Linked DNA regions of Arabidopsis thaliana. The protein of the gene in region 1 purifies or fractionates together with the protein of each later gene. This does not show direct contact. Each region holds a gene or a part of one and is shown in the gene's direction. Other genes may lie near its edges.

The links.
Region 2: the proteins of AXL (region 1) and UBA 2 fractionate together in Arabidopsis thaliana (co-fractionation; one large-scale study listed by BioGRID). This does not show direct contact.
Region 3: the proteins of AXL (region 1) and UBA1 fractionate together in Arabidopsis thaliana (co-fractionation; one large-scale study listed by BioGRID). This does not show direct contact.
Region 4: the proteins of AXL (region 1) and ECR1 fractionate together in Arabidopsis thaliana (co-fractionation; one large-scale study listed by BioGRID). This does not show direct contact.

What each region holds. Positions count from the first base shown.
Region 1 is NC_003071.7:13,755,648-13,762,811, forward strand, and holds AXL (AXR1-like protein), read left to right. Parts: upstream 1-1,945; 5' UTR 1,946-2,054; coding exon 2,055-2,092; intron 2,093-2,200; coding exon 2,201-2,373; intron 2,374-2,466; coding exon 2,467-2,630; intron 2,631-2,723; coding exon 2,724-2,834; intron 2,835-2,920; coding exon 2,921-3,000; intron 3,001-3,130; coding exon 3,131-3,281; intron 3,282-3,375; coding exon 3,376-3,469; intron 3,470-3,718; coding exon 3,719-3,807; intron 3,808-4,010; coding exon 4,011-4,084; intron 4,085-4,181; coding exon 4,182-4,344; intron 4,345-4,414; coding exon 4,415-4,500; coding exon of another isoform or gene 4,501-4,504; exon of another isoform or gene 4,505-4,606; coding exon of another isoform or gene 4,607-4,637; exon of another isoform or gene 4,638-4,679; coding exon 4,680-4,763; intron 4,764-4,849; coding exon 4,850-5,030; intron 5,031-5,131; coding exon 5,132-5,215; 3' UTR 5,216-5,505; downstream 5,506-7,164. Other genes in the region: GLR5 (glutamate receptor 5), read right to left, coding at 325-586; AT2G32415 (Polynucleotidyl transferase, ribonuclease H fold protein with HRDC domain-containing protein), read right to left, coding at 5,660-5,723, 5,912-6,242, 6,348-6,507, 6,600-7,104. UniProt on the Arabidopsis thaliana protein: Regulatory subunit of the dimeric ECR1-AXL1 E1 enzyme.
Region 2 is NC_003076.8:1,967,731-1,975,981, forward strand, and holds UBA 2 (ubiquitin activating enzyme 2), read left to right. Parts: upstream 1-2,229; 5' UTR 2,230-2,348; intron 2,349-2,499; 5' UTR 2,500-2,508; coding exon 2,509-2,830; intron 2,831-3,171; coding exon 3,172-3,389; intron 3,390-3,582; coding exon 3,583-4,377; intron 4,378-4,586; coding exon 4,587-5,455; intron 5,456-5,536; coding exon 5,537-5,969; intron 5,970-6,055; coding exon 6,056-6,652; 3' UTR 6,653-6,797; downstream 6,798-8,251. Other genes in the region: AT5G06450 (Polynucleotidyl transferase, ribonuclease H-like superfamily protein), read right to left, coding at 139-759; AT5G06470 (Glutaredoxin family protein), read right to left, coding at 6,929-7,648. UniProt on the Arabidopsis thaliana protein: Activates ubiquitin by first adenylating its C-terminal glycine residue with ATP, and thereafter linking this residue to the side chain of a cysteine residue in E1, yielding a ubiquitin-E1 thioester and free AMP.
Region 3 is NC_003071.7:12,851,247-12,860,412, reverse strand, and holds UBA1 (ubiquitin-activating enzyme 1), read left to right. Parts: upstream 1-2,685; 5' UTR 2,686-2,902; intron 2,903-3,027; 5' UTR 3,028-3,043; coding exon 3,044-3,374; intron 3,375-3,736; coding exon 3,737-3,954; intron 3,955-4,251; coding exon 4,252-5,046; intron 5,047-5,458; coding exon 5,459-6,327; intron 6,328-6,652; coding exon 6,653-7,085; intron 7,086-7,184; coding exon 7,185-7,781; 3' UTR 7,782-8,084; downstream 8,085-9,166. Other genes in the region: AT2G30120 (protein FLC EXPRESSOR), read left to right, coding at 1-13; AT2G30105 (LRR/ubiquitin-like domain protein), read right to left, coding at 8,505-8,618, 8,705-8,824, 8,903-9,017, 9,134-9,166. UniProt on the Arabidopsis thaliana protein: Activates ubiquitin by first adenylating its C-terminal glycine residue with ATP, and thereafter linking this residue to the side chain of a cysteine residue in E1, yielding a ubiquitin-E1 thioester and free AMP.
Region 4 is NC_003076.8:6,450,684-6,457,191, forward strand, and holds ECR1 (E1 C-terminal related 1), read left to right. Parts: upstream 1-2,564; 5' UTR 2,565-2,691; coding exon 2,692-2,805; intron 2,806-2,896; coding exon 2,897-3,060; intron 3,061-3,196; coding exon 3,197-3,399; intron 3,400-3,481; coding exon 3,482-3,714; intron 3,715-3,818; coding exon 3,819-3,881; intron 3,882-3,962; coding exon 3,963-4,019; intron 4,020-4,174; coding exon 4,175-4,296; intron 4,297-4,424; coding exon 4,425-4,542; coding exon of another isoform or gene 4,543-4,683; exon of another isoform or gene 4,684-4,776; coding exon 4,777-5,067; 3' UTR 5,068-5,350; downstream 5,351-6,508. UniProt on the Arabidopsis thaliana protein: Catalytic subunit of the dimeric ECR1-AXR1 E1 enzyme.

The sequences.
Region 1 (7,164 bases):
TAAACCAGGCCCTTAGTGGTAAAACCAAAGTTTTGTTTCCACTTATGTACAGGAAACACAGGTCCTAGTAACAGCCTGTTTAGGGTATGCGGTCTATATTGTTCTATGCATTATTAGCATTCGGAACCCAAAATATGTACCAATAAAAAACGGATTAAAACGTAAATCGATGTGCCAATCATTTCCAACTATCACAAAATGAAATATTGTTGCTACTGATGTGCATTGACCGCTTTCTATAATATGTTTGATATACTGTATCAGCCATGGATGAGTGTCACAAGTGTTTGAAACACAAAAGAACTAGAAGAACAGTCACGGTACCTCCAAAGGACCCACGAAAGACATTGCAGGCAGAATCCTCCATTAATAGCCGTAGCTCCGTTTCTTTGAGAAAGCTTTTATCATTGTTCACATCGGAAACAGCTGCCTCTAGAGCTACTTTTGCAGCTCTTCCGATAACCGAATCAAAAGCAAAAACAGCACCGATGTTCACCAGTTGAGGTCTTTGGCAATCCATTGGAACCACCAGAATGACCACAATCAGTGCCGTAATAGCGACAGATGGGTCAATGCCCAGTCCCATGGAGATAATGCAATCAAAGTAAGGACCACTTCAGATAGTTTGTGTTGGAACTAGAACCATCTCATTTAAATCTAGCAACTCTTCATTCAGCATTGAGGATGAGAAGATTAGAGAACTAAGCAAGGTAAAGTTTCCAACTTTGACCTGTAGAGTCAATGCGATTAGAAGACGAATCAAGATCTAAGCGAAGAGCAATCACAAGTCAAACCAAATTGATTATTTTAGCTGAAAACTAGCAACAATGTGGATATGAAGACTTATATACACAAACTCATCCGGACAGAAGAAAAATCTGAAAAAGAGTTTTTACAAATTCATTGAAATTAACAACAGTGAGACATTCTCTTTACCTCTTTGAGCTACCTTCTGGTTCTCTCTGCGGAATATACGCAAACACTTTGTAGGCATAAGTTAAAAAAGGGAAATTTTACGACAACGCAACGAATTTTTAACAAGAGAAGTCAAGAACTATCTTTTTTAAAAAACCATGATTTGACAGGAGATTACTAAAGGAAGAGAAACAAAACTAGAGAGATCAAATCATGCCCAGAAATTCATCCATCATTCTTCTTCTTCTGAGAACAAAATAGAAGAGAGAAATTGAAAAACGTGTGACTGAAGTGCTTTTTTGATTCGAGCTCACAAAGTCCTATCTAGTCTATATACTCTATAGTCACAGCAGCCGTTTGTTTGTATTTTTGTTTTCAGTGGGGCCCATCATTATTGGGCCCTACATGTAACGGCCCATTTTGTTAAGTTTATTTAAGATTAGATTACAATATAAATATTTTAATTGCCATGTGTTAATCATTTTATTTCTTCTCAAAAGTTTATTCTCTTAAGTTAATTTGTCAATGAAATGTTAATAGTATTTCATTTTATTTTTGCATAAAGAGAGACCCGTAGCAAGGCAAAATTTGAGTTGGCGTTTTTTATTCATAATAAAGATTTTTAGGCGGCAAAAAACTATTACATAATGAGATTTTATCACTTATTCATCTAATAATATTTAATTAAATTACATATGTGTTTTTTTCTAGCTATGTCATTTATTTTTACAATTTATATAAAATTTTGATATGTTTCCATGTATATATATATTTTAATAAATGAAAACTCAATCCAGAAAACATAAATTTTGATTTTATTTTAAATTATATGTTTTTATTTATAATTTGTTATCTCTTTTATACATTAAGGTGTTTTTGCAATAATACAGTCTTAATTTTTAAAAATTACAATTAAGCCCTAAACTTTGTAAATGTTCCAAATTAGGAAGGAAATAAAGAAAGGAGACAACTTAAGGTTCTCTTATTAAATGCCATTCCCTTTCTTTCTTACAAGTCACAACCTCTCTCTCTCTCTCTCTCTCTCTCTCTCTCTCTCTGCGTCTTTCTCTTTCTCTCTGTCTGAAGTTGAGAACACGAACCACTGAAAAACCCGCGAAAGACTCGAGCACGAACCAACAATGGCGGAACCCAAAACCAAGTATGATCGTCAGCTAAGGTGCACTCTTTCTCCTCCCAACTCTCTTTCTCTTCTTCAACTTCTCTGTCTCTTTCATCATTCTTCTTAATTTCGCTCAAATTGTGATGATTGGGGATAAATTCATAGGATTTGGGGAGAATTAGGTCAATCAGCTCTTGAAACCGCGAGCATATGTTTGCTCAATTGTGGTCCAACTGGCTCTGAGGCTCTAAAGAATCTTGTTATTGGTGGAATCGGAAGTATCACCATTGTCGACGGATCTAAAGTAGAAATTGGCGACCTTGGAAACAATTTCATGGGTATAATTCTCTCTTTTTCATCTTTCTTAAGCAATGCGTTTCTTCTATTTGCTGTTTATTGACATTTATTGATGATTGTTGTTGATGTTTCAGTGGATGCGAAGAGCGTTGGTCAGTCAAGAGCCAAAACGGTCTGTGGCTTTCTTCAGGAGCTTAACGATTCTGTTAAAGCAAATTTTGTTGAGGAGAATCCAGACACTTTGATATCGACAGACCCATCTTTCTTCTCTCAGTTCACTCTAGTTATCGCCACTCAGGTACATTATGTTGAGGATTAGATAGTTTCTAGTCTTTGTTTTCAGATTTTCACAGAGCGTTTGCCTTATTAGTTTGTCATGTGTTGATTGTAGCTAGTAGAAGATTCAATGGTGAAATTAGATAGAATCTGCCGGGAAGCAAACGTCATGTTGGTTTTGGCTCGCTCCTATGGACTTACTGGGTTTGTTCGTATCAGTGTAAAGGTAAGATTTTTGTGGATAGAGTGCTTTGTCACTTGTCATATGGTCTGTCTGCTAACTGCTATGTCATGTTCGCTCTTTCCTGTCAGGAACACACCGCTATTGAGACAAAGCCTGATCATTCTCTTGATGATCTCCGCTTGAATAGTCCATGGCCTGAGCTGAAGAGGTACTCTGCTTCAATCTTCTCACTCGTTATGTGTTCTTGCCATTCTTTAAACTTGTGTTTCAAATTACTTTTAATCTCCACAAACTTGCAACCAGTTGAAAGAAAATCTTATTTATTCAATGATCTGCAGCTATGTGGAGTCCATTGATCTAAATGTAGAAGAACCCGCTGCCCATAAGCACATTCCTTACGTCGTCATTCTAGTCAAGGTGGCTGAAGAATGGGCTCAACACCATAGCGGCAACCTTCCATCAACCAGGGAAGAGAAAAACGAGTTTAAGGTATCCTTACTTTTTGTTAATCAGCAAACAGTTATTAATCTTTGTTTTTCTTGTGATTCCTTGTCTTTATCTCTCTTACTCCTTGAAATTTTAGGACTTAGTTAAGTCCAAGATGGTATCAGCGGATGAAGAAAATTACAAAGAAGCCCTTCTTGCAGCTTTCAAAGTCTTTGCTCCTACAGGAATCAGTAAGTATACATACACCTCGTCTTGACATCGGTGGAAACTGGACTTTTAAATATATACTATAGATGCTGGAAATAAAGAAATTGGTTGGAGAATGGGAAAAACTGCAACGAGAACCAAATGGACAACTATCTACTATTTTCATGAAGCATGATTCATTGCTGCTCATTCATAACAGATCAGTTAACATTGGAGTTCAAAATATGAAGTCAGTTTTCACATTGAACTAAACATGTTTTCTTTTTCTCCAGGCCAAGAGATTCAAGACATTAATCATGATAGTTGTGCTGAAGTTGGCTCAAATTCCTCAGATTTTTGGGTAATGGTAGCAGCACTCAAGGTTTGTAACTTGAAAGACCTCACTTCAAAGCACATACTTCATATTGATATTTCAAACATGGAAGGGGTTGAGAACGTTTGTTGGGGTTTTAGTATTTTTTTGATCCAAGTTAGCTTTTTTTTCTGATTCCCATCAACATGGCTCAAATTCCTCAGATTTTTCTGATCCAAGTTAACCCTACTTATTATATGCATCATCTGCAGGAGTTTATTTCAAATGAAGGTGGTGGGGAGGTACCACTTGAAGGTTCCATGCCTGATATGATATCTTCCACAGAGTAAGTTCTCCTGTTCTTGCTTTTGTTTCATGGGAGGGATAAAATTCGTCCATCACCTTTATCAGATTACTATATAGCTGTATTGTATCTTTTGCAGGCACTACATCAATTTGCAGAAAATCTACCATTCCAAAGCGGAAGCTGATTTTCTTTCCATGGAACAGAGAGTAAAAAGTATTCTAGTTAAAGTTGGTCAGGATCCAAGTAGCATCTCAAAGCCAACTATCAAGAGCTTCTGCAAGAATGCACGAAAACTTAAAGTGAGAATGCTGAAATTTCTTACAATTTGATGTGTACTGTATCATTAAAACCGGGAATTGCGCCTTGTAGGTCTGCAGATATAGAACGATAGAAGACGAGTTCAAAAGTCCTTCTACAACAGAACTACATAAGTACTTGGCTGATGAGAATTACAGGTAAGAATGACTTCGTCAAAATTGATTCTTTTATACGACCATAGAGACTGTGATAACAAAAATATTACTGGAGTATATTTGTAGAACTGAAAAATAATATTTACAGTTGCAGCATTTTGGAGGCATGTTGCTGTTAGCTCTTAAGGGTCTTACCACTTTTCTGTTTATTCCTCTTGCAGTGGCGCAATTGGATTTTATATTCTTCTTAGAGCTGTTGATAGATTTGCTGGTACCTATAAGAAGTTTCCTGGACAGTTTGATGGGTAAGAGAACACATTCTGGCAAAATTTGATTGTATCTTGAATAATTTTGGCATTGTTAGGCCATTAACATGTCTCTTTTCTCATAGATCAACTGATGAGGACGCATCCCAGTTAAAGACTATTGCCCTGAGTCTTCTTAGTGAAATGGGTTGTGACGGCTATGAACTTCAGGAAGAACTGTACAATGAGATGTGTAGATTTGGTGCTGCAGAGATTCACGTGGTTGCTGCTTTAATAGGAGGAATCACATCTCAAGAAGTGATCAAGGTTCGTTTCATATCCATGTTGCTCAAAATGGTTACCCCGCAGTATCAAATAGGAGTGTGAAACAAACATTAACCTCTTTTATGGTTTGGCAATGTTTGCAGCTCATCACAAAGCAGTTTGTTCCCAAGCGAGGAACTTTCATCTTCAACGGCATTGATCACAAGTCTCAGTCTTTGACATTATAGAAGATTCTTAGACACTGGTGGCTGCAGAAGAACTCCAACATATCTTTTACCCTCACTTCAAGTTGAAACTTAACCTTTTCTTGGAGTTTTTATTCTGCTATACACCAGACTAACTAGATATCATTTCTTTGTAGAAACAGTTTCGAATTCCTCATGTATATTGATTGATTTTGAGCCGCGGTTCAAAACCGAAGAGCTCGCGTTAAGTGATGGGCATAGAGCCATTTTTGTATGACTTTCCTAAAGCAAAATTCTGGTATCGTTTCAAAATAGTCATATACTGCAATTTTAAAAGGATCAGACTTTTGGCTAAAACAAAGTACAGAGGTCTACAGAAGAATACAACAACAAACCACTGATGCGGTCGGGGGATTACAAAATAATCCTAGATTATGACAATCCAAAATTGACGAAACGGTAGAGATGGTACAGAAACAGACAAATCTACTCGGTGGAGAGTCTCTTTGTGGGATTGTAAACGCTGAATTCTCCAAAGTCTCTTCGGCCACTAGCAACAAAACAATCAAACCCTTGTAAAGAACAAGGTCCACATAAATTCACTTTTAGTAAATTCAAAGACTTTTGGTTCTCTAACACAAAAGTTGTTACTTGTCTCATGTCACAACAAGATATGATAAACATCCAAGTAGAACCTCAAGTTTATAATTAAAAAGAAGACGTAAATCTAAGGTTTACCTGTGACTAACATTCCAACCACCAGGTAAATGGCGAGGATGAACAGCATCAACAAACACTTTTCTCCACCTTTGACAGAAATCACGTACACCATCTTCTCCATGTTCCCTTAAAAGATATTCTACGATCTGTTTCCCGTGCGGTCCATGTCCTAACAAAGAGAGTTTGGAGTTTTGTTGGTGCAACGTATTCCCATTACACTGAGTATCATTTAGCTCTTTAGCTCCATCTCCTTCACTTGTACCATCACCACTATCATCAACAACTGTGCTCCTTTCTACAGTCATAATTTTCTCAAAATCTGCAAGAGCCTCCCCATCATTGTTTTCATCTAAAGATACGAAGTTGTTTGCATCAGTATTTCTGGATATCAAAGGATCATCATATCTTACACTTTATCAACCAACACAATTTTCAATGCTTATTATATGGTTACCTTCTTGTTTGTCCATACCAGCAACCTCTGCAGAATGTTTGAAGGAGACCCCTTTTTTCCTTTCGAGTTTTCTTCTTTCGTGAGGGCTCAATCCGATGAGTAAAGCTTTCTCTAAATCTTCTTCAGATAGGTCCCGTCCACCGTAATACATCTTCACAGTCTATATTCAGAATCCAAAAGAAAGTATCAATAACAGAATACTTGGTTCAAATCAATTTCTTGAAAGTTGAAATAGTTAGATGATCACATCACCTGCAACAATTCCTCACGGCGACTTGATGGCATTCTGTTCCCATGTCGCAAGAGCGCCATTGCAGCTGATCTAAGATGTAATGGGGAGACACCTGCATCCTCAGAGTCACCAGTTGATTCATCCTCCACTAAAGAAGACGTCCCTTGTGCTTCTTTTGAATCGAGTACTCTACGAACAAAAAGAGGAATTCCAAATTCCGTAGCGATTTGTTTCTTGTACCTCTCTGCAGCAGCATGTGCAACTTCATGACAATCCACACAAAGAAGAACAATGTCATGAGATCTATGACTTTTTAGGTGCTCAGGAAAATGAACTCTATAGCACGACGGTATTATTCGGTAACGGAGATAATGTTTCCCTTCCCCACACCCAACACATATATTCCTCTTGGTCTGGATATAAAAATCGTTCCCCTCATCTTCTGGACGCCCTTTGGGCTCAAACAAAAGCATTATCGCAGGTGGATTTTCTTCAACTAGCTTCGCAAGGCCACGGTTTAGATACCTGTAAGATATTACAAAGATATATAACTTAGAGAGTAGGCTCTTGAATCAAAGTAACTGA
Region 2 (8,251 bases), on another chromosome or scaffold:
AACTGTTCACTTTTTGTTTAGTGATTGTTGATTGTCACATCAAACAACTTACAAAGGATCACTTTGATTCAGGTACAAAGTCATTTCCATCAAAAGAACCAAAAAAAAAAAGAAGCAATCACAGAGATAAGTAGTAAATCACTCATCGGACAATTGATCCCAAACATTGACGATGAGCCACCCTTCAATGGCTGCAGCCTCAAGTTGTTCTTCAGGACCTGCCTTCTCCCATTTGGCCTCAATCGAATCCAGCTGGCCCAAATCAGACCACAATACTCTGTGCGCTAATTCTCTTGTCCCAAGAAACTCAAGCACCAGAGTTCCACGAGCTTCCGCAGCCAATTTCCCAACGTTAATCGCGTTTCTTATCACGAGACCGTGGTTTTCTCTAAGCAAGTCCAGGTCTTCCTCGATCTGCACTCCAACAAAAGTGACAAACTTGGAAGCAAAGAAACGGTACAGATCCTTGAGATTGTCATGAAAAGGTTTAGGAAGTCGAAGGAAGAGACATAAGTTTCTAGTGCTCAGCTTCACCGATGACAGACTCCACCCTGACGTTTTGGTTTTGGTTTCAGTTTCAGGAAACCCCACATCCCAGTACACATCGAAGATCACCGCTCGGTTTCCATTCAAGATAGAATCTTCTCTTATAAGTGAAAGGTATGGAGAGATATCTGTTGATGATCCAACATCAATGGTCTTAGTCTGAACATAGGAGCCATCAGTCATCTTGAACTTTGGCCCATCAAAGGAGGCCATGTGATGAAAAAACACTAAAGAATATTCACAAATCAAATTAGATTCAACGATAACTGACAAAGTTGTAGCTAAACTTATCTCAATACTAATAGAAGTGGAAAGTAAGATAGTGAATCCAATCATCACTCATATAACTTGAGCACCAATAAGGTTTCCTCTTTTTTATAAAAAACTACAAGTATTCATGAGTTGGAAACTTGGAGAAATTGGGTGAAGAAAGGACCACACATTGAATAAACAATGATCTAGCATCGAATTGATCAAAGTAGAGGTAAACAAACTTTTTTTTTAGTTTTGGCTACAAATACCATTGATCACTCCCCCTAGTTCTAGGTTTCATGACCTTTCTGTGCATCAAAAGATAACAAGAAAGAAGCGAAACTTTTTGTTCTATATCTCTTAGACTAATTAACTAATGGAGAAACAAAAACATTTGATTCTATCTTAGTTCTTGTAACCCAAAACGATCGATCCGAGAGATAAAATCCCCTAACTATCATCTGAAATTGGAATCATACTAGTCAAATTCAACTTAAAAGAGACATTAACTGATGAGAAGTTAAGAGGAGGACGAACCTTGAAATTTCGCGTCCGGTTAGGGATCGTAGTAAGCGAGGAACAGTTCTTCTGGTTTCTGCTGGAAGAGAGAAGACTAAATCCCCGCGAGGGAAGAAGAAATCACGAAATGGAGACACATTTCCTCAGCTTGCTTAACCAACCATACGTTAGTAATTTAAGCTGACCAATCCGGTTCAACCGAAATTCTATGTCTTTTGAATGTTTTTCTTGACTTTTTTTTTTAAGGGGTCCTTGTCAATCTTTGTTACCAACGCCAATTCACACAAGAAATATAATGTGAGACATTTTTCATCGTTATCATACAACCGTGAATATACTTGTCAAGCAATGTTGGTCAAATTCTCAAGATACAAGAGTTTTTTTTCACGCTAATGTAGTCACACTACAAATCCATTAATATTATTTTTTTCGTTTAGAAATCACACATAAAACATAGATTGTGTTTGTTGGTATAAGTGATAGAGAGAGCATCCCCATATCATTTTCCAAACACAAATGCTCACACCAAAATGGTTGAGTTCATAAGGTACATTTCCACACATTATGCTTAAGTTTCACTCTTATTACACTTCTTTGAAATGTCTATTAATCTTTAGGAATTAGCAAGTACGACACACATTCAAATATCCAACAACTACTCTCTCTTTATCAATCAACAAATAAAAAACAAAACTTGATTGATTAACAATTTCAAAGTTTAAATTCAATCACACCTAACCTGAATTAAAATTTGGTCTATTGCATACTCAAATCCGGTTCAATGTTACAAGACCAAAACCAGATATTTATCTTAAACTGGTCCACTTGAAAAAACGAAAAAACTTACCACACAACACAGGCTGATTCTGAATTCAGCACAAATAGTTTCAAAGCCCAACAATCATCGCCCAATTTTTGTTATATACCGCCGCTTCTTTCTACACAACCTACAAAGCCAAAAGCTTAGTATACTCTCTCTTTCTACTTTAACAACAAATTCGCCGCTTATCGCCTCCGATCTTCTCTCAAAGGTACGGTTTCGTTTTCATTTCCTCCGATTCTCGTTTCTTCTTCAGATTCCTTCATCGATTAGCTCTAGGAACCTTCTCATCGGAATTCATTTATTGTCTTTGTTTGTTATTCGAAGCTTCTTCTGTTTATTTGATACATATTCTCTTTCAGTTACTCTATATGGAACCATTCGTTGTTAAGGAGAACATCATCGCATCTGCTTCTTCGCCGATGAAGAAGCGACGGATCGATCACACTGAGTCAGCTGATGGTTCTGCGATTAACGCTTCTAACTCCAGTAGCATCGGTTTGAACAACAGCATCGGTGGTAACGATACGGTGATGAGCATGGCGGAGTTTGGTAACGACAACTCCAACAATCAGGAGATCGATGAAGATCTTCATAGCAGACAGCTCGCCGTTTACGGCCGTGAGACTATGAGGAAGCTTTTCGCTTCCAACGTTCTCATCTCTGGGATGCAGGGCCTTGGTGTTGAGATTGGTAACGATTTTTGTACTTTTCGTTGTTAATTTCTGCTTGCATGTTATTCCTGTGCTTGTCCTGCTGGTTGTTAAAGAGCTTCAAGCTTGAGCAAACGTATTTCGTGATTAAGCTGTTTTGATGTTGTGTGTACATTTGGGCACTTGAAGTTGAGATTGTAAAATTGGTATATTAACTTGTTAATCCTGATTTTCTAATGAGTTAGTGACACATTATATAATGGAAGGATTATTCAATATTCACTATAGATTTGTAATGAACTAATGACTGGTATAGCTCTTTATTCTCTTCGTTATTTCCTTCTTTCTGATGGATGATTTTTTTTTTTTTTTCTTATTTAGCCAAGAATATTATTCTAGCTGGTGTGAAGTCAGTGACCCTTCACGATGAAAATGTGGTTGAGCTATGGGACCTATCTAGTAACTTTGTTTTCACGGAGGAGGACATTGGTAAGAATAGAGCACTTGCTTCTGTTCACAAGTTGCAAGAACTCAACAATGCTGTGGCTGTCTCAACTTTGACTGGGAAGTTAACCAAAGAGCAGCTTTCTGATTTCCAGGTATCCAAACCCTTCCTTTATTTGGTTTGTCTTTGCTTCCTTGTTCTAGTTGTTAATAATACTATCATGATTCATGGACATAATTATCTGTAAAAGAGATTAGAGGTGACTGAACGTGGATGAAAACGTTTCTACTAAAAGTACAGAATGTTTGGCTTTAGTGGTTGATTTCTTTTTTTTTTCCTTGATGCAGGTTGTGGTATTTGTGGATATCTCTTTTGAGAAAGCGACAGAGATTGATGATTATTGTCACAGTCATCAGCCTCCTATTGCATTCATCAAGGCTGATGTTAGGGGGCTGTTTGGGTCTTTGTTTTGTGATTTTGGACCTCATTTTACTGTTCTTGATGTTGATGGGGAGGAACCTCACTCTGGCATCATCGCTTCTGTTAGCAATGAAAATCCTGGATTTGTTTCGTGTGTCGATGATGAGAGGCTCGAGTTTGAAGATGGAAATTTGGTTGTTTTCTCTGAAGTTGAGGGAATGACAGAGCTAAATGATGGAAAACCAAGGAAGATAAAAAATGTCAAGCCATTTTCATTTACCCTGGAGGAAGACACCTCTAGCTATGGGCAATATATGAAGGGTGGCATTGTGACTCAGGTTAAACAACCAAAGGTGTTGAACTTTAAACCTCTTAGAGAAGCACTTAAAGATCCAGGCGACTTTCTTCTAAGTGACTTTTCAAAGTTTGACCGACCACCTCTTCTCCACTTAGCATTCCAAGCACTTGATAGGTTTTCGTCTCAAGCAGGCCGATTTCCGTTTGCTGGTTCAGAAGAAGATGCTCAGAAACTAGTGGAAATTGCAGTTGACATTAATGAGGGTTTGGGTGATGCAAGGTTGGAAGATGTCAACTCTAAACTGTTGCGGCATTTGGCCTTTGGATCCAGGGCTGTTCTGAATCCTATGGCTGCAATGTTTGGTGGCATTGTTGGGCAGGAGGTTGTCAAGGCATGCTCTGGGAAATTCCATCCTATCTTTCAGGTAAAGACTTTTCTGTTTGGTTTTTCAGGGGCTCATCTGTTCGGTCTTTGTATGTTAAACTTCTACTTGTTGAGCAATGCTGTTCATCTATGTTATACAGGCATTTACTCTACATGAGTCCTATACCAGGACTAAAGTTTCTCTTCCCTTGTTAGTAGTATTTCTTTTATACTTGGTAATGTGGTAATTAGTTTGCATTATTTGTGCAGTTCTTTTACTTTGATTCGGTGGAGTCACTCCCCAAGGAACCTCTTGATGCATCAGAGTTTAGACCACAAAATAGCCGTTACGATGCACAGATCTCTGTATTTGGGTCTACTCTTCAGAAGAAACTCGAGGATGCCAGAGTTTTTGTTGTAGGGGCTGGTGCTCTTGGATGCGAGTTCTTAAAGAACTTGGCTTTGATGGGTGTGTCATGTGGCACCCAAGGGAAGCTAACTGTCACCGATGATGATGTAATTGAGAAGAGCAACCTGAGTCGTCAGTTTCTTTTTCGAGATTGGAACATAGGACAGGCTAAATCCACAGTTGCCGCAACAGCAGCAGCTGGAATAAATTCTCGCCTCAACATTGATGCTCTGCAAAATCGTGTTGGACCTGAGACCGAGAATGTCTTTGACGACAGCTTCTGGGAGAATTTGACAGTTGTGGTGAACGCTTTGGACAATGTCACTGCAAGGCTTTATGTTGATTCAAGGTGTGTGTATTTCCAGAAGCCTCTCCTCGAGTCAGGAACCCTAGGTGCAAAGTGCAACACACAGATGGTTATCCCTCACCTCACTGAGAACTATGGTGCCTCGAGAGACCCACCAGAGAAACAGGCTCCAATGTGCACCGTGCACTCATTTCCTCACAACATTGATCATTGCTTAACATGGGCTCGCTCTGAATTTGAGGGTTTGCTTGAGAAAACACCAGCTGAAGTTAATGCATACCTCTCAGATCCTGTTGAATACATGAAAGCGATGAGAACTGCTGGTGATGCCCAAGCAAGGGATACTTTGGGACGTGTTGTTGAGTGCCTCGAGAAAGAAAAGTGCAATTCATTCCAGGATTGCATAACCTGGGCTCGTCTGAGGTACTCTCTGTTGGCCCACACCCTTCATTGAGACTATATGTAAAATGATTTTCTTCTCTTTACATAATTGCTTGCTTACAGGTTTGAGGACTACTTCGCCAACCGTGTGAAGCAGTTATGTTACACATTTCCTGAGGATGCTGCTACTAGTACAGGAGCTCCGTTCTGGTCTGCCCCAAAGAGATTTCCTCGCCCACTCCAATTCTCCTCAACCGACCTGAGCCATATCAACTTTGTCATGGCTGCATCTATCTTGCGAGCAGAGACATTCGGAATCCCTACTCCTGAGTGGGCTAAAACCCGAGCAGGACTAGCCGAGGCTGTGGAAAGAGTAATTGTCCCCGACTTTGAGCCGAAGAAAGATGCAACTATTGTGACAGATGAGAAGGCTACAACTTTGTCTACAGCTTCAGTCGATGATGCAGCAGTAATCGATGAACTAAACGCAAAACTAGTGCGGTGCAGGATGAGCTTGCAGCCAGAGTTCAGGATGAAGGCAATCCAGTTTGAAAAGGTGAATCATAAATGTATCCAAGTATCTTTCAGATTCTGTATTTGAATTATAAGAGCAACAAACTAACATTATTTTGCTGTTCTTAGGACGATGATACCAACTACCACATGGATATGATCGCTGGGCTAGCCAACATGAGAGCAAGGAACTACAGTGTTCCCGAGGTGGACAAGCTTAAAGCCAAGTTCATAGCCGGAAGAATCATACCCGCGATTGCGACATCAACTGCAATGGCAACAGGTTTTGTTTGCCTTGAGATGTACAAGGTCTTAGACGGGTCACACAAAGTAGAAGACTACAGAAACACATTTGCTAACTTAGCACTTCCGCTCTTCTCCATGGCTGAGCCGGTTCCACCTAAAGTGGTGAAGCACCAAGACCAAAGCTGGACTGTTTGGGACCGGTGGGTGATGAGGGGAAACCCGACCCTAAGGGAGTTGCTAGACTGGCTAAAAGAGAAAGGGCTAAACGCATACAGCATATCTTGCGGAAGCAGTTTACTGTACAACAGTATGTTCTCAAGGCATAAAGAGAGGATGAACAGAAGAGTGGTGGATCTTGCAAGAGACGTGGCTGGGGTTGAATTGCCTGCTTATAGACGTCACGTGGATGTTGTAGTCGCTTGTGAAGATGATAATGATGCTGACGTTGATATCCCTCTCGTATCAGTCTACTTCGCCTGATTAGAGAATTTTAATTAACGTCCCCAACGAGAGAAGCTTTTAATAATTACTGTATTCTTGGGATATGAAGTTGAGTTTCAGAGATAGAGAGAGTTTTGATGTATGAGAATAGAGTTAACTTCTTAAAATTTAGAACTAAATTTTCAAATTTGGTGTTTTTCACTTATTCATTACAAACATAATACGATTAAACAATCCTAATACAAAACGTTTTTCTCACACATCATTTACTACAAAGTTAAAAATCAGATAGTTATTATTAGCTTATAACAGCAACTACGTACAAAGAGGACATTTCACAAGTCCATTCTCATTACATTCTCTGCATCTTGTCCACATATTATCATTACTACTCTCTTCATCGTGATGCTCTGCAAGCAATCTTGTGCTTCCATTGCAGCTAGAACATATCAAAAACCTTTCGTTCTCGCAAGACTCGCAAGGTGAATCAACCTGTGAGATTCCTTGTAGTAGCTTCTTCAGCTTCCCGTTCTCGTTCAATGCCACAACTTCTTCTGCTCCACCAATGTACCTACCTCTAATGAACAGCCTCGGAGAGGTAACTTTCCCACCAAGCAACCTCCACATCTCTTCTCTAAACTCTGAATCCATGGAAACGTCTCTCTCTCTATACATCACCTGGTGATTCTCCAACAAGAATCTCACTCTTCTGCAAGCTTCAAATGTTTTCCTCACACTTCGCAGGCCCGTCGTGTAGAATACAACCGAATCTTCTCCTCCGGGTGGGCAATTCTCTTTAAACTCCAGAAGAATCCCTCTTTCTTCTTCAAGATTATGTTCCTCTGCATCCTCAAGCTCTAGTAGTGTTGGTGTAACACAACCTTTGCTTTGACCAGATTCAGCGACTATTTCGTCTCTTAGATGATGGATTGTGCGATCAATGGTACTCTTATGAAGAGTTAAGCTTTGCTTCAACGTCTTGACAGTGGTGATGAGTTTGATTTTCTTCACCAATCTTTCCTTCATTCCCTTCATTGCTAACAAAACTTGGATCTTTCAAAAATCTGAAAAGAGGATTTAGAGAAGAATTCTGATCAAGATAAGATCGGGTACGAGAACAAAAACAAAACAAAACTTAGTGGCTAATGGGTTCTTCGTTTTCAGGTTTCTTCTTTGGTTAACGTGTGGGTACCCAATTTTGATGAATAAAGTTTCAAAAGCTACTTTCTGGTTTAGCTTTCAAAAGTCTTTCTTGATGGGTTTTCATCAGAATGAAAAAAGAAAGAAAAAAAGTCTTTGTTTTTTTTTTGTGTTGATGGGTCATTGCTACAATAATGTAAGATGTGATGATAAAACTCACACCTCAATTACAGAAGACAAAAGACACTCATGACATGAGTAATGATTTTACCCAATCAACCCAATTTTGCCAGAAGGCTAAAAACAAAAAAGGAAGATGTTATAATGGAGCTTTAAGAAATATAAATCTTTCTGGTAAGAGTCATCAATTGATTTAGCCTGTCTTGTCTTTTACAATTCCAGAAACGTGCAATGATGTAAGATTGGTAAAGAAGCTTAGCTTTAGCTAGCTTGCAAATTCGAATTAGTCAAAATTTTCTATTTAATCATATACTTTAC
Region 3 (9,166 bases), 900 kb from region 1:
TAGTGTGTTGTGATAGTGTCTTGCTTACGTTTGAATAGGCCAGCCATATACTTGATTTGACAATTTTTGTTTTAGTGTATCTTATTTAGCGAGTGTATTCAACCAAATAATTTATTTGATTGAAGTTCGAAGAATTTTTCTACTCTGTATTCTCAGTTCGATTTTTGAGGTTTACATTAATTTACATACCTCATCCAACTATAAACAAACAAGGACAAGAGTTTGTGGTCCTTTTAGAATTACAAATTTTTAAAACTATTCCATTTGATTTGTACTTACCAACATATTAAATTTGAATATATAAGGTATTTAGACAGACATATTGATGGTTCTTTGCATGAAAAATCTCTGCTACATTTTGTTAGTGCATTATTTCTCTACAATTTCTTGAATACCAACTGTTTGAAAGAATAAAGAAAAAGGCAGAGTGTGTTTGTTCTGTTCCATGCAACCTCTTACACACTCGAGTTCATCCTCAGTCACGGGCAAACAACAGTTGATGCAATTCCTCTCTGGCAAATTTCTCCACCTTTACAGAACTAACTTCACTTGATTTGTATCAGTAGCTACTGATACAAATCAATTTGCAATCTCCTCCTCCAAAAGTTGTAATAATGGGTGCTAGGGGATAAAAAGAAAGAACAGAGGCATACATCAAAAGCTAGCTTTATCAAACCACATGCACAAAGTTTACTCAAATCAATATCAGAATCAGAAAAACAAGCTTAATCAACAAGTTTACATTAAAGTGTTTCCTTATCATATAAGAAGGGGATTCCTCTTTCTTTTTCCCAAGCCTTCACTTCAATGATTAGATCTTCAATCATGGCTTAGAAAAGAAACACAATACTATCATCTTAAGTCTTTGTTCATTACTTCAAAAAGAGAGGGTAATAGGGTTACGCGTATAAAGACTCACCAGGAATTTGCATGACAAGACTCTTAGCACGTTCTAAGTGTTCGTACTCTCCTCTTACGAGTTACAAGATTGAAGAGGTTTCCATCCTATAAAGACGATCAAGAATATATAATAAGAAATGCTTACTTTAATCAAGTCAATCTTCTCTTGATGTATCACAGGTCTTCACCTACCTTTTCGTAGTCACGAAGCCATTTTTCTTCTTCCTTAGCTTGCTTCCAGGTTTCAACTGCATCTATTATGCCTTTCCTTCTTAAAGCTTCAGATTTTGCTTCCTCATATTAGCATCCAATGCAGCACCAATATCAGATAGAGCACGATCACCTGACAAGATAACTTATCTTTTAAGCATATCTAAATTGCTGTTTTTTTCTTACAAATAGAAGAGTTCTTCACTTACCCTCATTATCAGTTAGCTCAATACTGCCTGTCGAGCTCGACAAAATGCCTTTAACTCGTATTGCTTCTGAAGTACATTCACCTTCAGGGTTTCCCCAGTTTTAGTTTTCTTTGCCACTTTGTCAGCCTTGTCTTTATTAGCAATCCTCTTCGTTTTGGGAGCACCAGTGGATTCCTTTCTTTTACCAGCATCATTAGTACTCGTCTTGGGAAGATATTTTGCACAACTCCATTTTTGTTTTTTCTTAGGGTGATGAATGACTTGGCCTGAGGTGAGAAATTGAGAGTGTAGAGACTTTTGCCTTTGTAGTTATACTCTGCCAAACTCCATCCTTTTAGCCAATCATCCACAAACTCTATGGGTAAATCATCATGATACCTTAAGTAAGCTAGTTTAGAAGAAGTGCTCACAACTTCTTGACCCATTTGAAACTGATGAACATAGTAATTGACACTGCCCCACTTTATAAGAGCACCATTGCAATTAAAATATCCAAGATGAACATTTTTAGTTGGATAAAAGAAGACCCACGACTTGTTGCTTTCTCCCTCTAGAAATTGAAAGTTGATGAAATCTCACTCCCATGGACTGCGATCAAATATTTCAAGATCGTCTATCCATGGAATTGCAACATCAACTCCAAAATCTACACTTTTAACCAAACTAATCATAAGTTAAATTTCAATTTACAATCGTTTATTAATATAGTGATTAAGTAAGTTATCAAGTATTAATTTATAGAGTTTTATTTTTGTATAAACTAACCACGAGTTAAGGAGGTGTTATTGGTTTATGATTTCAAAAGAGTTTTAGTGACTTAAAGTATCATGTAGAATCTGTTGTTATTTAATCAAAAAAATTTAAAAGTATGTTAAAAGTTTGTGTTATTCATTAAAGATTTGTAAAAAGTAATCTAAAAATCTTCATAAATTTTAGATTATTGAATTCATACTTTTATAAAGTCAGTAAATTTTTTGTGTTATTCTATTAAAACAAAAAAATCTCTGATTGTTTATGATTTAAATTATTATGTTATTGGTTCATGACTTTCTACATTTTCTTTCACAAAATAAAGTCATAGAAAGTCATGAATTTTTTTTCAAAAGATTGTTTTGAGAAACTTTAGAAGAAAATGTATTTAATTATAATATTCATAGCTGGAAATTGATCTAATATTTAATTATAATATTAAAGTTTCCAGTTATCCAAAAGAAGATGTGAGTTTTTTTGAACTTGGTAATTAAAAAAAGAAAGCAATATTTCAGATTTAATACAGATTCATAAGAAGGATCCATAAGAAATTAACTAAACCGGATCTGGTCTTGAAATAGTGACGGACGCGTGTCCCCCGGTCAGAGAGTTGCCGTCACAATCACGCGGAGAAAGAGCGACAAATCAAACCTTAACCGTTAAAACGTCATCGTTTCATATCCCCCCACAACCGAACCCCTTTCGTTCGCCCGTCTCTCTTAAATAAATCTTAGAGATTTCTGCAAAATTCGTCACTTCAATTTCAATTTTCAGATCTCAAAAACTTTTTCTCTTTTCCGATTCCAATCTTCTCTCGTCTGCTTTCCTCAAAGGTACGTTTTATCTTCCTTCTCATAGCTTCCGAAGAATCAATCTAGGGTTAGGTATTTCAATTCTGATCGGATTTTCTCTCTTCAGTGTTCTCTAATCTAATGGGAATTTCACATGTTTTCTCCAGGTTTTTTCATCACTTTATGCTTCACAAGCGAGCTAGTGAAGCTAACGATAAGAACGATAATACCATCATCGGTTCCGATTTAGCATCATCTAAGAAACGCCGTATCGATTTCACTGAATCTTCGTCTGATAAGTCTTCTTCGATTTTAGCTTCTGGTAGTAGCAGGGGTTTTCACGGCGATAGCGTCGTTCAGCAAATCGACATGGCTTTTGGTAATTCGAACCGTCAGGAGATTGATGAAGATCTGCACAGTCGCCAGCTCGCCGTCTATGGTCGTGAGACTATGAGGCGTCTCTTTGCTTCCAATGTTCTCATCTCGGGGATGCACGGTCTTGGTGCCGAGATTGGTATGTACTTCATTGGTTTTATGTTGAGATTGTGGTCTCCCTCGTCTCTTTGGTTTTTGAAACTTGTAGAAACACTGTTTTCGTATGCGTCGTTATTAGAAGCTGTGAATAATTGTGTCATCTTCAAAGATTTTACTCTTTAGTTGTTTTGTTTTGGTTCTCCTGATCTGTGATTGCTGGTATTCTTCAACATCCAAATCTTAGTAGCTTCCTGATGTTCCTTAGTTGTTCGATATCTTTGTTATTGGGGTTTCGTTATATGCCAGTTTTCTAAGATGCATGGTAAATGTGAACTGTTAATGATACTTTTTAGTCGATTGCTTTCTCATTCAGTTTTTGTTTTATTTGTTGATTTTCTTCAGCCAAGAATCTTATACTTGCTGGTGTGAAGTCTGTGACCTTGCATGATGAAAGAGTTGTAGAGCTATGGGACTTATCAAGCAACTTTGTTTTCTCGGAGGATGATGTTGGCAAGAATAGAGCAGATGCTTCTGTTCAGAAGTTACAGGATCTTAACAATGCTGTGGTTGTCTCTAGCTTGACCAAAAGCTTAAACAAAGAGGATCTTTCTGGCTTCCAGGTTTGTAGACAACTCATTTGTCTTGTTATTGGTTCTATATGGTCTGAGTCTTTTGTGTACTGTATCGTTCTGTAGATTACTTGTGAGTTTATGATAACACTGTAACTGAATGAGTAACATAAGAGTGGGTTGTTCTATTTTCGTTGCATATAAGAGATGGGTTTTGTCTCATTTAGTGTTAGGCTATTTCTAGTGTTTATTGATATTGATATGGAAGATTGGTGTACACTTTTCTCATTGGTGTGTGTTTCTTGTTGGCGGGTTTTACGCTGATACATCTACTTTTGTGCCAAACAGGTTGTTGTATTCTCTGACATAAGCATGGAAAGAGCAATCGAATTTGATGACTATTGTCACAGCCATCAGCCTCCTATCGCTTTTGTCAAGGCTGATGTCAGGGGTCTTTTCGGCTCTGTCTTTTGTGATTTTGGGCCTGAATTTGCGGTTCTTGATGTTGATGGAGAGGAACCCCATACAGGCATCATTGCGTCTATCTCTAATGAGAACCAGGCATTTATTTCCTGTGTCGACGATGAGAGGCTTGAGTTTGAAGATGGTGACCTAGTTGTTTTCTCAGAAGTTGAGGGTATGACAGAATTGAATGATGGGAAACCAAGGAAGATAAAAAGTACACGGCCATATTCATTCACCCTTGATGAGGACACTACTAACTATGGAACATATGTGAAGGGTGGTATTGTCACTCAAGTGAAACAGCCAAAGTTACTGAATTTCAAGCCATTGAGGGAAGCGCTTAAGGATCCAGGGGATTTTCTATTTAGTGATTTCTCTAAGTTTGATCGGCCTCCACTCCTTCACTTAGCATTCCAGGCACTTGATCATTTTAAAGCTGAAGCTGGCAGATTTCCTGTTGCTGGCTCAGAAGAGGACGCTCAGAAGCTTATATCGATTGCCACAGCCATCAATACCGGGCAGGGTGATTTAAAGGTGGAGAATGTTGATCAGAAGCTTCTAAGACACTTTTCCTTTGGAGCCAAGGCTGTCCTGAATCCTATGGCTGCAATGTTTGGCGGTATTGTTGGACAGGAGGTTGTTAAAGCTTGCTCTGGAAAATTTCATCCTCTCTTCCAGGTAAAATTTCTTTTCTATAGACTTGTGAGAACACATATTTAGTCTTTGCATGCCAAGTTCTCTGTTCGAGTTAAGAATTTTAAACACTAGAATTTAAACTCAAAGCTCTCTTTTGTTAAAACCGAATCAAAGTAACAAGACAGAAGTTGAAATACACCCAAGAGTAATTAATTCCTAAGCTCTCTTCATCCCTATGTAATATATTAGAAGCTAAATGAAAGCTGTTTAGATAAAGTAAATAAAGAAATAGAAATTCTAATGAAAATAAGGAACATTATCTAATACGCATCTCTCCTTTTTCCTAATGTTTTATGTTGTGGGAAGTTACAGCTGTTTCCTCTTTTTTTGATACATTTATATTGTTTAAAGTTTCGTATTGGGATCTGATGTTGTGACTCTTTTTGTTTATCAGTTTTTCTACTTTGATTCAGTGGAGTCACTCCCCTCTGAACCTGTGGACTCGAGTGACTTTGCACCAAGAAACAGCCGGTATGATGCCCAAATATCTGTATTTGGGGCCAAGTTCCAGAAGAAACTTGAAGATGCTAAAGTTTTCACAGTAGGGTCTGGTGCTCTTGGCTGTGAGTTCTTGAAAAATTTGGCTCTGATGGGGGTTTCTTGTGGAAGCCAAGGGAAGCTGACAGTGACAGATGATGATATCATTGAGAAGAGTAACCTCAGTCGTCAATTTCTGTTCCGTGACTGGAACATTGGACAGGCTAAATCCACAGTTGCTGCTTCGGCTGCTGCTGTTATAAATCCTCGCTTCAACATTGAGGCCCTGCAAAACCGTGTTGGCGCGGAGACTGAGAATGTATTTGACGATGCCTTCTGGGAGAACTTAACTGTTGTCGTCAATGCACTGGATAATGTTAATGCGAGGCTCTATGTTGATTCGAGGTGCTTGTATTTCCAGAAGCCTCTCCTTGAGTCTGGAACTCTTGGTACAAAGTGCAACACACAGTCGGTTATCCCACATCTAACTGAAAATTACGGTGCCTCAAGGGACCCACCAGAGAAACAGGCCCCCATGTGTACAGTGCATTCCTTCCCGCATAACATTGATCACTGTTTAACTTGGGCTCGCTCTGAGTTTGAGGGTCTGCTGGAGAAGACTCCCGCTGAAGTGAATGCATATCTTTCTAGCCCAGTTGAGTACACTAACTCAATGATGAGTGCTGGTGATGCTCAGGCGAGGGACACATTGGAGAGGATTGTTGAGTGCCTTGAAAAGGAGAAGTGTGAGACCTTCCAAGACTGCTTAACCTGGGCACGACTGAGGTAATATCACTCTTAATAGTTAGTTAGATAGTCTAGTCGTAATATGGAATGAAATATAGTCCGGTGTCTTACTCATGTCCTGCTACAGTCTCCTATTTTATGCTTTTGTCATGTGCTTCATCCCAGGATTGCTTAATTATTCGTTGAAAACATCATTACGAAACTAAAAAATAAAATAAAAAACTAGGAACAGTGTTATAAGGTAACTTCATTTCACAACAGGTAGCTACAACCAATATGTAGAAGTGGGAATAAATCGTTTCCTTCCTCTGTGGAGTCTGTGATTTTTGCAATAATTTATGTGTTTGTTATGTTATGTGACTAGGTTTGAGGATTACTTTGTGAACCGTGTCAAGCAATTGATATACACATTTCCTGAAGATGCTGCGACTAGTACCGGAGCTCCATTCTGGTCTGCTCCAAAAAGATTCCCTCGTCCACTCCAGTACTCGTCGTCCGACCCAAGTCTCCTTAACTTTATCACAGCGACTGCTATTTTACGAGCAGAGACATTTGGGATCCCGATACCTGAGTGGACTAAGAACCCAAAGGAAGCAGCAGAAGCTGTTGACAGAGTGATAGTCCCAGACTTTGAGCCAAGGCAAGATGCAAAGATTGTGACTGATGAGAAAGCTACCACTTTAACCACTGCTTCGGTGGACGACGCTGCAGTCATCGACGATCTCATTGCTAAGATCGACCAGTGTAGGCATAACTTGTCGCCAGACTTCAGGATGAAACCTATTCAGTTCGAAAAGGTATATTACCCTCCAATGTTATCGTCTTCACTGATATTGACTTGTCTTGTTTACAATTTTTAACTGAGTGTTGTCATTTTGAATTTGATGTGTTTGTAGGATGATGATACAAACTATCACATGGATGTGATAGCAGGACTAGCCAACATGAGGGCGAGAAATTACAGCATCCCTGAAGTGGACAAGCTGAAAGCAAAGTTCATAGCAGGGAGAATCATCCCAGCCATTGCGACTTCAACAGCCATGGCTACTGGGCTGGTCTGCCTCGAGCTGTACAAGGTCCTTGATGGAGGACATAAAGTGGAAGCTTACAGAAACACATTTGCCAACCTGGCACTTCCACTATTCTCCATGGCTGAACCACTTCCACCAAAGGTGGTGAAGCACCGTGACATGGCTTGGACAGTTTGGGACAGATGGGTTCTCAAGGGAAACCCAACTCTTCGTGAGGTGTTGCAGTGGCTGGAGGACAAAGGGCTTAGCGCATACAGCATCTCTTGTGGAAGCTGTCTTCTGTTCAACAGTATGTTCACAAGGCACAAGGAGAGGATGGACAAGAAGGTTGTGGATCTCGCTCGGGATGTTGCGAAAGTCGAGTTACCGCCTTATCGCAACCATCTTGATGTAGTGGTGGCTTGTGAGGATGAAGATGACAATGACGTCGATATTCCTCTCGTCTCTATCTACTTCAGGTGAAAAGTTTCGAGAGAATGAAGAAAGATGAAACTCTTGAGAGCAAATTTGTGTGTTTTGTCTCTGCATCTGCCCTACGTTATTATCTTTTGGATGCTTGTGGGTGAGATAACTGATTTTTACTTGAGGGGGATAGAGACTCATTTTATCTCTCTCGTTCTATTTTAGTCTTTCTTTCTATGTACAATTGCTGAATGTGTGGTTTACACACCCGTTACCTTCTAAACATGTTCTATCAAACAAATCTTCGAGTTTTTCGGTTTTTTCCATGTCTTCTTGCAGGTGGTGTTTCGCGATAAGAATCCGAAAGATATAATCTACCTTAAATAATATCCACTCTGTGAATCTATTTACAGAGAACAAATTGAAGCAAAGAACTAAAGATATAATCTAGGGTCAAGTCTCGAGCACCACCTTCTCTTAACCCCAACCCAAGATTCTAGACTCAAAAGCTGTTTGCCTTTACTTCCTTTTTACCGGTTATACTGACTGACTCGGCTATAGAATTGATGAGCTTTTTTAACAATAGGTATCGTAGTTTTCGTTTATTCGGTTTCATTGCATAAATTTTGGATTCAATTTGAGAGTGGTTCAATTTATTTGGTACACTACAATTCAAATTGGAGTAAGCAAACAATATATAGGCATGAAGGAGAAAGATTTTTTCACTGAAAGTGCCACAAATATATTAAGAGTACTGACGATTCGAGACTCGACTTGGCTTGATCACCAAGATTTATCAGCGCCTTCGTCGAATTGGCCAGATCCCACAACACGAAAATCAAGCTGCTTTTGATGCTTGGTACGTCTTCTTTCATCAAAATCATCATATCCCTCGAACTGTCATAATACAAATATCCTTGTTTCAGTTCAGATAACGAAGAAAGAACTATAGACTCAAAACATGAAACTCTGAACAAACAAACCTGGCGGAGAAATTCAACGGTTATCTCTGTGTTGTGGAGACCTAAAGTTGAGAGCTGCAAACACATCTTAAATAAAGCCGATGGCAGCGTCTTCAATCCCGTGTTATTCAGCTCCAGCGTCTGAATACCGAAACACTAAGTCAGTATTTGTAAACCCATGGCCATGGAACAAAGAGTAGTCAAAAGATTGTTTTTTACCTTTAGATTACGCAGTTTGGTGAATGTCTCGGGAAGTTCTGATATAATATTAGCTGAAAGATCAACCTCCATGAGGAATGAACAGTTTCCGATACTCTCAGGAAGACTAGTTATTCTGCAGAATACAAAACGATGGAGAGACCATGAGCAATGTAATCAATGAATCACAATGCTACGACTGAAACTTTTGTGTTTTCGATCAATTAAAAGATATGAGTAAAGCTTATTTGCCTGTTGTTGTTGGCTTTCAAAATCTCAAGCTGC
Region 4 (6,508 bases), on another chromosome or scaffold:
AATAATTATAATATTTGCATTTTGAATTTTTTAAAAACATTTATTATATTTTGAAACTTTTTAAAGGTAAAAAATACATAGTATCATATTTACAAATAACAAATAACTCGTCTGAGAAAAACTTAACCCGACACCACTACAACCATCACTTTGCCGCTTGTATGGTTCACCACCATAACCTTTCGAAGTTGTGATAAAATAATTAAGCCATCAAACAGATCAAATGTTTTTTTTTGGTATAACGCTAATTATTCAACAGTAGATTAAAATGACTCATCTTATATATTTTGATTAACATTCGAGATAATCTATACCTTAATTTTATAGAACATAATTTTTAACAAATTAAAAAAAAAATGCTCAACGACAAAGAATCGATTACATGTTACAACTTACACAACTTAGGTTGCGCATCACTACCACCAGTGCACCATGGCTACTCCGCTGCTTTTAAAGCTATATTTTACCATATAAAAAAAATAAATACAAATTGATATACTTACATAAATAATACCAAAATTGTAATGAGATAAATAAATAATACTATACCAAATGTTTTCAAACATGTAATAATTCAGTTTTTTTTGTTGTCATAAATTCGTCATATTTTTCGGGGCTTTTACAAAAATAAGGACATTTTAGCTCAAATATTTGAAAATGGGCATTTTCATGTGGGCTTATGTAAATGGGCATTTTTTTTTTATCACTAGACGATTTTACTCTGATTCAGCTTCTTCTTCTTTTTCATCGATCTATTTCTGTTTTTATTTCCAGATGCTTCATAGATCTTCTTCTCATCTATTAACTCAACAAATCCAATTAATTACGTTTTAAAAAAAAAAAAATATACCCTAAAGGGATGATGTTTAGGGAACCTAAGAATTTCAAAATACAAATGAAATCAATTTTAGATTTGGACATATATTAGTAGGTGGATTTTGATTTCGGACCGAGACTTGTCACCAGTTTATGAGTCGAGGAAAGAGCTGAAGGAGTTGCGATTATGGTGAATTGTAGAGACGAAAGAACTGGAGATTGGTGAATTGCAGAGACCATTCTCGTTGGGGTAAATTGCAGAACTGGAGATTGGGATAAAAACATCAATGCAGCTGAGAAAAGTACCTAATTGTAGTACCATATTGAAAAATACTGTTTTGAACAAAGACACAGAGAAAAAAGGCCTGATCTCGTAATTGATCCCATATTTTTCACCCATATCAAAAAAATATTACAAAAAATGAGTCTATGTAATTTAACATATTATGTTTTAGACAATATGTACTATAATAGGATAAATAATTCTTTTTTCGTGAGAATGTAAATATAAATATATGAAATATGTATATAATTCTTCTTTAACAAACTTTTTTTTTTGTTTTTTTTGTCAAGGTATAGTCATGGTGAGCCACACAACGTATGAAGTTGGGCATATGATGAGCTTTGTCATTCTTTTGCTTCTTTATGCTATGGTTCAATACCGTGCCGATCGGTTATTAGCCACCAACGATTTTCACGGTCTTATCTTATCATCCATCAACGATTAATTGGAGTGGAGAAGTTTTATATAGAAATCTCCCGGGCCCTTAACGCGAAGGACCAAATTTTCCAAAGTACTATACTATTAATAAGAAGTCCAACAACAATTGCGACAACCATTTTACTACGGGGGACCAGGGCTTCGGTGTTCAAGAGCTTTTCGGGGAGCATTATCTGGTGTAATCGAAGAAAAAAAAAGAAGGGATTAGTAAATGTAACACTCAGAAAACTTTATTTACTTTTGCTTATATATAGATCCATATATAATCAACTAATTAATACCAACCTAATTGAAAAGAAATCGAAAGTTGACTTGAGAGCTTACATAGCAGTAACTTATTCAAAATAAATCCATCACTCGGTTGGTCTCATCGTGAAACCTTGGGACCGTGATAATGATGATGATGATGATAAGGATACGACTGCAGCCGTTAGCAGACCAAGAGCAATTGCAGCCGACACAAAATATATATACGACTGCTATAAGCAACTAACACACCAACGGTGCTTATCAGAGAATCAAAGATAGATTCCATCTTGAATCTCTTGATATGTGTCTGTCTTTCTTTTCTTCTTCGCGTCTAGGAGAGATTGATTGGGTAACCGAATTAATTAATTAAAAAGAAATATAGATAACCAAACTTGGGACAATGGAACATTTGCTAAAATAATACAAAAAGGTTATAAGTAGTCAGAATAATCCACAAAATTTCATTAAAAATCTAATAAGATAAGATTTGCTAAAACAATTGTAAGGGACTGGTAACAGAGTTAATTAATAAGAAAATGAATATAACCAAATTTGGGACAATAATTAAAACAATATAATGGAAAATTTGCTAAAATTATATAAAAAGGTGATAAATAGTCAGAATAATCCACAAATTTTTTCTAATAAGATAGATTTGCTAAAACAAACCTTTTATAAAAAAAACTTTTAATAAATGTCCAAATTAAACCAAGGAATATAATCAAGATCTAATAAAATATTGTTTTGGGCCTAGCCCAGTATTGACCCAATAACTATAAGGGTCGGCTCAAAGAGAGAAGCCAATACAAGTTTCGGAGCTCTGTGGCAGTGTATCGGCTTTGCGTCTTTTGAGCTCTCTCCGCCGTGATCAATCTCCGTGAATCGCCGCCACTCTCTCGGTTTCAATGGCTGATCTCGATGTTCCTCCTCAAGTTCCTCAAAGTAAAACTAGAGACCTTGACAAGCTTCTTCTCCGTCATGGGAATCTCGTTGACCCCGGCTTCGTACCCGGACCCGGCGTAAACGCCTTTTATCCCTCAATTCGCTTCTTCGGTTATATTCCGTATCGTTTTTGTGGGTTTTCTGAGCTAAGTTTGTTTCTGTATACAGCTGAGGGATGACATAAGGGATTATGTGAGAATCTTGGTGATTGGTGCGGGTGGGTTGGGTTGTGAGCTTCTCAAGGATTTAGCTCTTTCTGGTTTTCGTAATCTCGAAGTGATTGATATGGACCGTATTGAGGTTACTAATCTCAATCGCCAGTTCCTGTTCAGGTTTTTTTCTCCTTCTTTTGTCTCTTTGGTTTTACCACTATAAACCCTATCCATTATGTTCCCTGTGTGTGTGGTATGTTTGTGAAATTGTTAGCTATCTTTGTGGGAATTGAAATTTGGTTGATTGTTGTTTTAGGATTGAAGATGTAGGAAAGCCTAAGGCAGAGGTAGCAGCAAAGCGTGTAATGGAGAGAGTGAGTGGAGTAGAGATTGTGCCGCATTTTTCACGTATAGAAGACAAAGAGATTGAGTTTTATAACGATTTTAATATCATTGCTCTTGGTCTTGATTCTATCGAAGCTCGCAAATACATCAATGGGGTAGCTTGTGGGTTTCTTGGTATGCAAATTCTTTAACCTTTAATACTTTATCCCTCGGCTTTTTGAAGTTCTCTGTCTGATAATGTGCTTGTGAAATGTAGAGTATAATGAAGATGATACTCCGAAAAGAGAAACGATCAAGCCAATGGTAGATGGGGGAACTGAAGGTTTCAAGGGTCATGCTAGAGTTATCTTGCCTGGAGTTACACCCTGTTTTGAGTGCACTATTTATCTTTTCCCACCTCAAGTGAAGTTTCCGTTGTGCACTCTTGCAGAAACCCCTAGGAATGCAGCTCATTGCATTGAATATGCTCATCTTATTCAGTGGGAAACGGTATGTCAATGAATTCTTTCTGTAGTCTCTCTGAAATAGACTCTTCTTTCCTAGTGAATACGTATTTGGTTTATTCATGGTAAACTCGATTCTTACTTCTGCAGGTTCATCGTGGGAAAACCTTTGATCCTGATGAACCAGAACATATGAAGTGGGTTTATGATGAGGTTAGTTATTCTTTTACTTGTTTATGCTATAGTTTTTTAATTTGGGTTTGGGTTTATTTTATATTTACCATTACTTCACAGGCTATCAGGAGAGCTGAGCTTTTTGGAATTCCAGGTGTCACATACTCTCTCACACAAGTATGTAACCGTTCTCTCTTATTCTTTGTGTTCACTTTCGTAAATTTCCAGTCCTCGGCTGAAGTACCGGTGACTGTTTAAGCATGGACGATGAAATCCGTATGCTATTTGTATTCATGAAGAAGTAATGAGAGGACGATTGTTTTATTGTGTAGGGTGTGGTTAAAAACATAATACCGGCGATTGCTTCCACCAATGCGATAATATCTGCAGCTTGTGCACTTGAAACCTTGAAGATTGTGTCTGCATGCAGCAAAACACTTGTAAATTATTTGACGTATGGTTTATTTCTTTCTTTCCACCTTACTTACTAGTGTTCGGAGTACAGCTAGACTACTAAAAGTTAAATATATGAATTTACAAATAATTCAATGTTGCAATTTGGTTGGTTTTCATTTTCGCAAGGTATAACGGTGGAGAGGGTCTTTACACTGAAGTGACAAAGTTCGAGAGGGACACCGAATGTCTTGTATGTGGTCCGGGCATTCTGATTGAGCTGGACACCTCAGTCACTTTATCAAAGGTCCTTCCTCTCGCATTATCATCTCATTGTCTTTTTTATACCACGATTATCTTGATTTTCATACTCACGTATTGCTTCATTCATGCTAAATTATCTTCTCTATTACTATCTCCTCGCTTTTCCAGGCTTGGTTTTAGCTAAATCTCAATTTACTCGTGCTTTGTTTGTCCATGTAAATCTGCGTCTCAATTCTTTACCATTTATTTGTTCATGTTTTGTTTTTCTTTGTCCTAGTTCATTGAGATGCTTGAAGATCACCCGAAGCTTCTATTGTCAAAAGCAAGTGTTAAACAGGGGGAAAACACTCTCTACATGCAGGCACCTCCGGTTCTAGAAGAGTTTCACAGACCAAAGCTAAGCAAGCCGCTTTATGACCTCATGGGAAGAGTCCAGAAGGACACTATCCACGTGTTTGGACAAAGAGCCCTCAAGAACAATGAGAAAGAGTCGTGCACAACGAAGGTAAGAGTTGTATTCAAAGGAGCCGATGGTGTTGCAGACATGGATACAGCCATTGGAGCATGAAAACCGACAGAGAAACCCTTTGATTGCAGCTTTTAGATCCATTGAGATAATTGGGCAGCTTGACTAGTCCAGTTCTTATTTTTTGTACCTTTTTTGTTTGTATGTCGTTTAATAGCTGTGACTGCAGAATTTTACTGCTTGGGGAACAAAAAATGACTCCAAACAGTGAGTTTATATGATTATTCTTAATCTCGGATTGTTCTTAATCTCAAAGATGTGTCTTGAGATTGTTTTCTTAACAGTTCATATGATCAGGATTCTACCTGCGATTTCAGATACAAGCAACTCTGATTATGTCCTAAACGTAACATAGAGTTAACATAAAACAATAATGAGAAAGTACATACATAACTAATATTGTAATAACTTTTTGAATTTAGCATTAACCAAAATGTGTTTATTAAACCAGCCGTTACAAACGTCAATTGCAACAGTAAGACAAACAATAGATTGTTTCATCCGTTGGTGTAGTAGACGCCAACACCACCAAAATGAAACAAAGACTCTTCTTATATTCTTTTTAATGTTGGTTTAAACTTATCTTGTTATATTTTTGTTGTTGTTTATCTTCTTCTGTTTGTGGCTATACTTGCTTGCACTTTTCTTTTCACTAGATCTTAGAGACTTTAAAACTAGTCTTTTGAAACGTAGTATGGGTAAAGAGATAAGGTAGTTCTACGACTTCTTTCTTCATTATCACCATTAAAAGGTCAAGAGTTGGGAACATGCAATCAGAAATCAAAGACCAACAAAAATGAGTAAACATCAAAAGTTCATAAAGAAAAATAGTGATATGTAAAAAGAAAATAGATAATTGTTTATGTATAATAATAATATAGAGACCATCAAGCTTTCACTTGGGAAATCGATTTTATGAAGTAGGATTGGTGTGTGACCCTACTTCACTCAAACACTATCCTCAAACCATATCATATCAATGAGTTATATAGATTTTCTCTCTTTCTCTCTCCCAAATCCAAATTGATCATTGTCCATTTCCTCAATTGCCAACCACAAACTGTCTTCGGATGTGGCTGTTCGAGGATCTTATAGCCATAACAAAGATTTCCCTTGGCCCTATCAAAGATAGTTTTATTTTTTTGCCATGATAGTTTTTGCATGTAAATAAGTGTTGTTGGTTCTCTAGTTCTCTTCAATTCTATTGGTAAAAGCTATATCAAAAGTTTTTTGGTTAATATGTGACATAAGTTATGTTAAATGTAACGAAAACAGAGTGGATATGGGTTGTGTGTGAACTTTGATTCTATCTTTTAAAAAATGTAACAACTGGATAACATCAATGCACAACCTCCTTCTGTCCTTCATGTTGTGTTGAGTGGGGACTTAGCCAGATTAGATTTACAATTGTTAAAAAAAGTCTCTTTCTTTTCTCTGGCCCTACTCTCCCACCCACATGCTCTTCTCTCCCTCTCTCTCTGAG